2 linked regions of the Schizosaccharomyces pombe genome follow. The protein of the gene in region 1 interacts with the protein of each later gene in a biochemical or structural test. Each region holds a gene or a part of one and is shown on either strand. Other genes may lie near its edges.

Region 1 (4,314 bases):
CTTCATAAACAAAATGTTAAAACCGGTTTTTAAATAGTAACACAAACTGATCTGATAGCATGCGGACAGAAGTAGAGATCGACCCTGCTGACGAAAACCATATATTCTCAAATCCATATAAAAAGCTTAAGAGTAATCTCCAATTCAATAAGAGAATCAGACCCTGTGAGTCTGGGATACTGGCAAAAGCTCTAGCCTTTTAATAGAATCTACACGACTTCGTCCTCTTGGTCATAACGGCGCTTACCTGCCAATTCTTTAATAAACTGATAAACGGTCGGAAGATCTTCTTTAATGACAGAGCGAATGCGAACTGAACCCATGTTTTGAATTAATTGGTTTACTTGGTGTGCAGTGCTAACAGTAAATAATATGCGTGGCCTAATGGTAGTTTATTGTCTAGCGCACTTTAAACTGATGAGATCTCATCATATTATTTTTGGAATGCCAAATACGGGTAGAAACTAATCTAGTATGTTCCATTTACCTTTTTATGTTTGGGAATGAATAATCCGCTTTTCTACTGAACGATTATTAAATACTACCTTGAAAGCTAAAGCAACTCATAATAATGAAACATTAATTCAGTAAACAATTTAATAAACAGCATGGTATAATAAAGAATATTATAATAGTTTTTCGAAGTTATGGTATTTGTATTAATTAACATCTAAAAAAGTTGAAAGATGTAAACTTCCATTTAAAATAGCTCAGTTAAATCCATATTGCATTTATGCACTTTCCAAAAAAAAAATGATACCTGAGACTATGAGAGACATAAAAGAACGTAAAACAAGCCTGAACGGAAGCTATCCACTTAAATTGAATAAATTAGTAATAGATTAAGCAAGCATAAGTTATTTTAAATATGGTGATTAGAATGAACGCGTGTCTCAACGCAAACAAATCCTTTAATGATGTAGCGAATATGGCACAGGCAAATAAATGAAATACAGTGGCCTCAGAACGCAATGAGTAGAACATGAAGTGGAGAAATGATAAAAAAGAGAGTGGTTTTAAAAAACCAAAATTACTGGATGCAAAGAAATGCGTGTATGAACAAAAACAATCAATACGTTTGTTTCCCCCAATTTTCTGTAAATTTTATGAATCTTCAATTATTGTACCCAAATGTAAATGATGTTTGAAAGGATATTTTTGTATAATTTTTGAAATGGTAAGAAAGTCGGCTGCACTCAATAGTCCAACGGGCATATCGATGTTAATCCCACATTGGGTGAAGGAGGGTAATAGAGTTTCCGCACCTGGGCCTAAATAATAAATGGATTTTGAAAGTGATGTTGCTTTACATGTCAACAGTATCCTAACAATGCTTTCAAACACTGGAATAGACAATTGTTTATCTTGTGGTTTGGAGCACATTTCAACCAAAGTAAGGTCCTCTTTATGCGGTTCACTAGTAATTGGCGTGGGTGAAACTAATAAAGGATTTGGAGAAATTTGATAATTCTCCTTGGCCTCTTTACTATACCCCATACATAATTTTTGCAATGTTGACTCGGAGGCAGCTAATACACGAGAGTCTGTAAAGGCCTCTCGGAAAACTGATGTCTTGGATCTTTTTGAAAATCCCCTACTTCCAAGAAGAGTAACAGTAGGAGAACAGGGCAACCATAGCAATACACGAACTCTTCCAAAAATGCCAAGCCAATCCCTTGCCGAGAGAAAGTCTAAAATTTGAGAAACAAATAATAACCCGGCATAACCATGAGGAAGATGAGCAAAAAATAAAAGTTCGCGATGTGGTGATAACTTCTGCTCCTCTTCTGTTTGAATACGAGGATCCAAAACCTTCGAAACGTACACATCTTCGTAAGTTTGCCAATAATAACCATCTTGATGCACCCACTTAATCCTTCCATCAGAAAGCGTACACAATTTTTGTAAAGGTTTGGAAAAAACTTCCCGTGATTCTAGCACAACGTGACTTTTAGGTTGGAAGTAATTGAACAGCGAAGTGGTAGTCACTCCCGGTCCCGGTGCCATTTCTAAAATAGTCATTTTCTCCGAGTTGTATTCCTTAAGCAGATTGCTTTTCACAAGCGCTTCATCCATCAAATTCTGATTCACAAGATACGATGACTTATACGAAGAACGACCGTTTAGGTTTAATATCTTAACAAACCCCGTGGATCTTGGTCCTCCAAATGCAGCTGCGTCATATAAAATTTTAGGAAGCTTCATATTGATTATTTTAGCAATTGATTACTTTCTGCATAATTCGTATAAACAGTCCAAGATTGGTCAAATGACCTGTGATATATTCAATAACGAAAAATTGAAGACATTAATTTTTTTTCTAATTTTAAAAAAAGATGTCACCTTTACGCTTGCTTTCTTTTTCTGTTCATTTAAATGTGGTTAAACAACACATTCATATGCGCATTGTTCAGTCTAAAACATCACCATGTGCAAGTTTATTTAATGCTCGGCTTTAGTTAATTCATTCATAAACATTAACGAAGCCCATCAATTTTACGCAATACGAATTATGTATCCTGGTCAAATACGGTATTTCCAAGTAAACAAAACTATAGAAGTTATAGAAACTTTGAATAAACGTGTAATGTTGAATTAACTGGAAAAGAACGATGTTTTTCAAGTAAGGAAAACTGTTAACTACTCAACGCAAAGTAGAATAATACAATTTTTTACTTTTTGAACCAGTCATGCGAGCTGTCTATGATGATTAATTAATGGTAATAGCAATTGAAAAAAAAAATATTCAATCTCCAAGTTATAGCGCAACAATTGGATTGTGAAACTACCGCTTTAATGATGATATCTGTCACAACCGTAAGAACTGGATAATTGTAATTATTGGGAGCTAAATTCAGTTCATAACTTTAATTTACTTGCAAGATATAAGTTTAGGATGTATTCCATAAAAAACGGTGAAACGTATATATCAAACAAATTCTTAGTTCTCTTTTACTATCATATGGAACATGTAATCCATAATAAGTTCATTATTGGAATAAATAATCGCAACACAATGTGCCAGAACTATAGAAAGCCTAATAGGCGAATATAAATGAAAAAGTAAACGGAAAGTATCAATTGAAACATACTAGACATACTAGAATTCGTCAGAAACATAAACAAAAATTCGAAGCAATTCAAATTTATTCTTATCAATCATAAGCTTTAATCGTTTATATGAATCTTGAATGGCTCACTAGTAGAGTCCCCTCTAAAAGTGAATACTCTTTCCACACCAGGCAGCCATCATTGCTTCCTTAGTAGCCTCACTCAAAGTGGGATGGGCATGGCAAACACGAGCGACATCTTCAGCACTAGCTCCATATTCAAGAGCGAGAGTTGCTTCACCAATCAATTCACCAGCCATAGGGCCAATCATGTGTACTCCAAGTAAACGGTCGGTTTCCGCATCTACAATGACTTTAACAAGACCATCGGCATCCATATTGGTCTTGGCACGGGAATTGGCGGAAAAGGGGAAAGTGCCAATTCTATACTTAATACCGCTTTCTTTGGCCTTTTGTTCGGTAATACCAACCCAAGCAACTTCAGGATGAGTGTACATTACAGCGGGAATACAGTTGTAATTAACATGTCCCTGACCCTTTGCGATATACTCAACAGCGGCAATACCCTCATCTTCTGCCTTGTGAGCTAACATAGGACCAAGGGTAGCGTCACCAATCACACGGATATGGGGGATGTTAGTACGGTACTCACTATCCATAATTACTCTGTTGCTTTTATCCATAGAAATTCCAAGCTTATCGAGGCCAAGACCCTCAGTGTATGGAACACGGCCGATAGCAACCAACAAAACATCAGTCTGATAAGTTTCACGCTTGTTATTCTTCATATTCTCAATTTCAACCTCAACGCTGTCACCATTCACCTTGGCGCTAAGCAATTTGGTAGATGTCTTAAATTTGATACCTTGCTTAGAAATGATACGAGATAAAGCCTTGGAAATGTCTGCATCCATAGGACCTCCAACAGCTGGCAAAAACTCAACGACGGTAACCTCTGCACCAAGTCTTGACCATACACTGCCCATCTCCAATCCAATGATACCACCACCAAGAACGGTCATCTTTTTTGGGACCTCTGATAAAGATAAGGCACCTGTAGAAGAAACAATTTTCTTCTCATCAATTGTTACACCTGGGAATGGCTTAACTTCACTTCCAGTGGCAATGATGAAGTTTTTGGCTTTAATAGTTTGATCTGCAGCACCATCAATTCCCTTAACAGAGAGAGTTTGAGGATCGATGAAAGAGCCTGTACCCTTAGCATATTCTACCTTATTTTTTT
Region 2 (5,150 bases), 1.5 Mb from region 1:
GTAATAAATCGTTTACAGTTATAAGGTACCTGTTTATTTGTTTATTTGCTACGAAATCAGTGTATGGAGCAAAAAAGTATACAACATTTTTAAATTCAGCTCATATTGTACATTACTGTACACTGTATCTTTTATATATGGTACGACATAGAATAGAAAAAAGTGAAAGAGACGGCAACAACATCAGTGACGGCGCGCTTTTTCTTAAAATGTTACAAAAACTGGAGTAATTCATGTAAGGCTGTGAAATTGGCATGAGCTCGTCGAGAGCTTTCTTCAACTACTAGGCTCATTTAAAATTTACACCGCACCAATGTTTCTTTATTACTTACAATTGCCTCTCATCATAACTTTGAAAATACAATTTACCACAATACTAGTGATAACATAATATCATGCATTTTAATTTTCTTTATATGACCTATACAGATCCCCTAAAAAGAATATAGTAGGGATACTCGCACGACAGCTAAAAATATATAAGTTATATAATAATTTTGAATCAGAAGGAAGGCAACGGAAATATCCACACATTTTTTGCGCTCTCGGACATATATTTCATCCGCGTTATTTTCATCATTTTCAAAATCATTTATCTCTCACATACTTCAACCATTTCAAAGCTCACCACAAACCTGTATAGGAAATATAAAGAAACTTGATGCTTTACGTAAACACAATTCAGAACTTACAAAAACACAAAAGTGAAAACTTGGTATTTAAGTCGAAAGTCATACCATTCGTAAAAAGAGTGAAATTATAATGTGTAATAAACACAAGGTAAAACATTATGTTCATTAAACAAAATCAGGAGTTTGATTGTACAATTAGCAACCATATGAGAATAGCCGAATGAAAAGTTTCAAAACAATAAGTATCCATTAACAGAAGTATGACCCATTAACTAGTTTTGAAACTAAAGAATTTTACGAAGGTCAACAACATAATGCAAAATTAAAGCCAATTTCTCTGAATGGATTTAAATCATCATAATCATAAGCTTTTAATAAATTGTAAAAATTTAAAAAACCACGTCGGCATTTTTTTGATACCTTACATCATACCGGGCATTCCACCCATGCCACCCATTCCGGGAGGACCAGCAGGGGCCTTGGACTCTTCAGGAGCATCGACGATGGCACATTCGGTGGTACCCATTAATGAGGCGACTCCACTAGCATCAACTAAACCGGTACGTACGACCTTTAGGGGATCCAAAACACCAATTTCATTTAAATCAACAAAACGATCCTTAGCAATATCATAACCGATGTTAAATTCCTTGCCATAAAGCTCCTTAAGTTTACCAACAATCAAGTTACCCTCTAATCCAGCATTTTCAAGAATGGTTTGAGCGGGACGAGTGATAGCTTTGCGAACAATTTCGACGCCAAGCTTTTGATCAAAGTTATTTGTAGGAATGTCTCCTAAGCGAAGACTAGCCTTAACAAAAGAGGTACCAGCACCTGGGAGAACACCCTCGGAAACAGCAGCCTTAACAGCATTCAATGCATCAACAATACGGTCTTTCTTCTCGTTGACTTCAACTTCACTGGAGCCTCCAACCTTAATAACAGCAATACCACCGCTCAATTTGGCCAATCTCTCTTGAAGCTTTTCTTTTTCGTATTCAGTGAGATTAGGGTCGGCCATGACACCACGAATCTGTTCACAACGGTCGTTAACTTTAACATGGTCACCAGCACCTTTCATAATGATAGTGTCTTCCTTGGTGACAGTTACAGAGCCACAGCTACCCAAATGATGGGGTTGAGCCTTTTCGATGGAAACATCAATTTCATCATTGAACACGGCACTATCAGTCAAGACGGCTAAATCTCCAAGCATATTACGACGGTTGTCACCAAAGCCAGGGGCTTTAATAGCAACAACTTGTAATTGCCCACGAAGCTTGTTTAAGATACAAGCAGCCAAAGCTTCACCATCAACGTCCTCTGCGATGATAACTAAGGGACGACGCTGCTGAGCGGCAAGCTCCAAAGAGGGAAGAATGTCTTGGACAGCAGACACTTTCTTTTCAGAAAGAAGAATAAGAGGATTTTCAAATTCAACCTTTTGTGATTTGACATCGGTAATAAAGTAAGGAGAAATGTAACCACGATCAAACTTCATACCCTCAGTAACCTCTAATTCGTCGCTTATTGTGCGCCCTTCTTTGACGGTGATAACGCCTTCTTTACCAACACGTTCCATGGCTTTAGCAAGAAGCTCACCGATATGAGTGTCACCGTTAGCAGAGATGGTAGCGACTTGGGAAATCTCTTCAGAAGTAGTAATATCACGCTTATTGGCTTGCAAAAATTCGACGACGTTATCAACAGCAAGTTGAATTCCCCGGCGAAGGTCCATAGGGTTGCAACCGGCAGCCACGTTACGAACAGTCTCAGAAAAGATGGCACGAGTTAAAACAGTAGCAGTAGTGGTACCATCACCAGCAACTTCATTAGTCTTGCTTGCAACATCCTGAACTAGTCTTGCACCAAGGTTTTCGAATTTATCTTTCAAACTTACACTACGGGCGACAGTTACACCGTCCTTAGTGATTTTAGGGGAACCAAAAGGTTGGTCAATCAAGACATTACGGCCCTTTGGTCCCAAAGTTACAGATACGGCACGAGCAAGAGTATCGACACCGGTGAGTAAAGATGCGCGAGCATCAACACCAAATTTTAAGTCTTTAGCATATGTACGAACTTGAGGGACGGCAAATCTGCCGGGGATTCGACGACCAGCAATTCTTAAAGGTAGACGAGATACACTGGAAGAAAGGAAGCTCACCATTATGTTTAATTAATGAAATAAAATGAAGTTGTAAAAAATGGTTTTTTTTAATGCACCCAAAAAGAGATATAAAGAAATGTAAAGTTATCTAACGCAAATACAACCCACACGTTAGGAATATAACCAGCTAGCTGTCCCTGCAAAAATAAATGCTTGCAGCTTTTAGATATATTATTGGTTTTAAAATACGTGAAATACTCTTCACTATTTTCCGCTTAATGAAATTCCAAACAAGGCTAGGCAGACGATAAGTTAGCTATAATAGACATTATATATACTGTGACTGCCTGATATTCTAGAAAGAACTTTGATGGGATAAAGATTGACATGCCGGCAAATAGCCAATAGAAAAGCGACCAAATTTTAAGAATAGGTTTGGTAGCTTCTTGAAGAAAAATATCGAAAAATAGTGTATTGCATTGTTTATCGCTAAACGGCTTCTAAAAAATTAAAACATATAGAGCAAGAACGGGGAGCGTTTTCATTTAGTCGATTTACAGTCATTAAAACCTCTAAAAAAAATGCGGTGCTCGACTATGGTCAATGTGCCGTTTCTTCGTGATTATTCAAATAAGAAAGATCAACTCAATTTATCAAATTAAAAAGTCGTAAATGTTCTATACTTATTTAAAAAGTAATACTAAACGATACAGCAGATACGAGATACGTTTAGACAAAATCATCAAGTATCCACTAAAAACAGTGCGAAAAAAAATAATAATAACAAAAAAAAAATAGTGCAATCATATCTTGACGAAAAAAATCATACAAATGACAACCGAACTCTCATAATCGAAATTGAATTCTTTAACACATTATCAAATCAATAACACGGAAAAGAATTTAGGCACAATTAGCCAAACAGCCATTAAAATGAAGCCATCATTCGTAATAGTTAAAAACCGAGTGACACTAACGTGAACAAGCTGGGTCCGTACAAAACATATGAGATATAGAAATTGAAAAGGTATTGATAGTAACGAAAGGTCCTACACATAAGAACAAAACACAATCAAAACAACAAATTATTGCAAATAACACCATTAACATCCCACGTAAGATCGGTTATCGTAAATTTTATTTGAGACTTTTGCTGTATAGCTCAAGCATCGTATCCCAGTATACGAATCGTCAAACCGGATTTGCGATACAAAAGTTTAAAAAAATCTCACAAAAGAAAATTCCATTTTATTCCTCTCAAAATAATCATAAACGTGACTTTGAAGAGAGAAAAATATCATCTATTAAATTAAATCCTTTTCGTTTTACAAGAATCACATTATAGTTTAAAAGCATGAGCCCGATCACATGCACATCCGAAGTGAGTATGTAAACGATATAAGCATGAAAATCATGTCCTCAATTGAACACTAGGTCGTAAAAATGGATAATTCATTGAGATAATTTCACTCGTCGTTTTTATGTACAAAGTATAAATTTGCTTGAAAGCGCTTATTATCGTAAGGTAAATGAAACTTAATAAAACCCGAGACATAGCCAAAACAAGATTAATCAAAAGCAGGGAAAAACAAAAAATCCAAGACTAATTCTTTGTAAAAGTTCTGGATCCAATAGCACCGGTGTTTGATGGAGTAAGGCTTGCAAAATAATCGTTCATCGCACTACCGTTTAAAGTATTTGATGAATTAGTCGCATTGCGATCCAGTGGAGAGGAAACATTTAAATTAGCAAAAGGAGTAGCAAGTTCTAACGGAGTAGCTGGCATACTACGTATGTCGGAAAAGGCTTTAGAATCATTTAGTCCTCTGAGAGAACGTATGCTATCCGCAAGATGCATAGAGGGAGCGGGTCGTCTAAGACTTGAAAAATTACTAGAAAGACCACCGGACGAGAAAAGACCATTGTCAAATAAACCAGAGGAGCTCAAGTGATTTGCAAGACTTGGTTGGCTCAAATTGGAAGCACCTAAAGAAGAAGGATTTAAAGTACTGGCGTTTGGGGCCATCAAAGGAGAGTGGTTAGCACTCGAATTATTAGCGGGAGTAAAATGAGTACTAGGCATGGTAATAACCACTTGCTTAGCTTCACCGTCACCAGTAACTGAATGATTGAGATTGAGACGGGAAGCTAATAAGGCAGCAACCCGACGTTCTTCCTGGGTGGTTGAAGAATCAAATACAAGATCATTAGTGTTATCGCTGCGATAATAAAATAACAAGATATGAGAATATACATTGAGTATAGCTGGATCATTCAAATCAAAATCAATGCCAGCACCTATATTGGCAACAGAAAACGGAGATTTCAATTGATTTTTTCGTTCTTCTACAGCGCGTTTCTCTTGTTTACCACGCTCAACACGTTCACGCTCCGCAGGCGGTAGTTGA

What was found.
Region 2: the proteins of mtf1 (region 1) and mcp60 form a complex in vitro, tested with the Schizosaccharomyces pombe proteins (one study listed by BioGRID).

The regions. Positions count from the first base shown.
Region 1 is NC_003424.3:1,808,919-1,813,232, forward strand, and holds mtf1 (RNA polymerase-specificity factor Mtf1), read right to left. Parts: upstream 2,413-4,314; 5' UTR 2,206-2,412; coding exon 1,105-2,205; 3' UTR 562-1,104; downstream 1-561. Other genes in the region: SPOM_SPAC1002.07C (N-acetyltransferase Ats1), read right to left, coding at 248-323; dihydrolipoamide dehydrogenase Dld1, read right to left, coding at 3,215-4,314.
Region 2 is NC_003424.3:339,054-344,203, forward strand, and holds mcp60 (protein Mcp60), read right to left. Parts: upstream 3,045-5,150; 5' UTR 2,803-3,044; coding exon 1,054-2,802; 3' UTR 713-1,053; downstream 1-712. Other genes in the region: RNA-binding protein Cip2, read right to left, coding at 4,346-5,150. UniProt on the Schizosaccharomyces pombe protein: May participate in assembly and/or disassembly of proteins imported into the mitochondrion. HSP60 are ATPases and have affinity for unfolded proteins.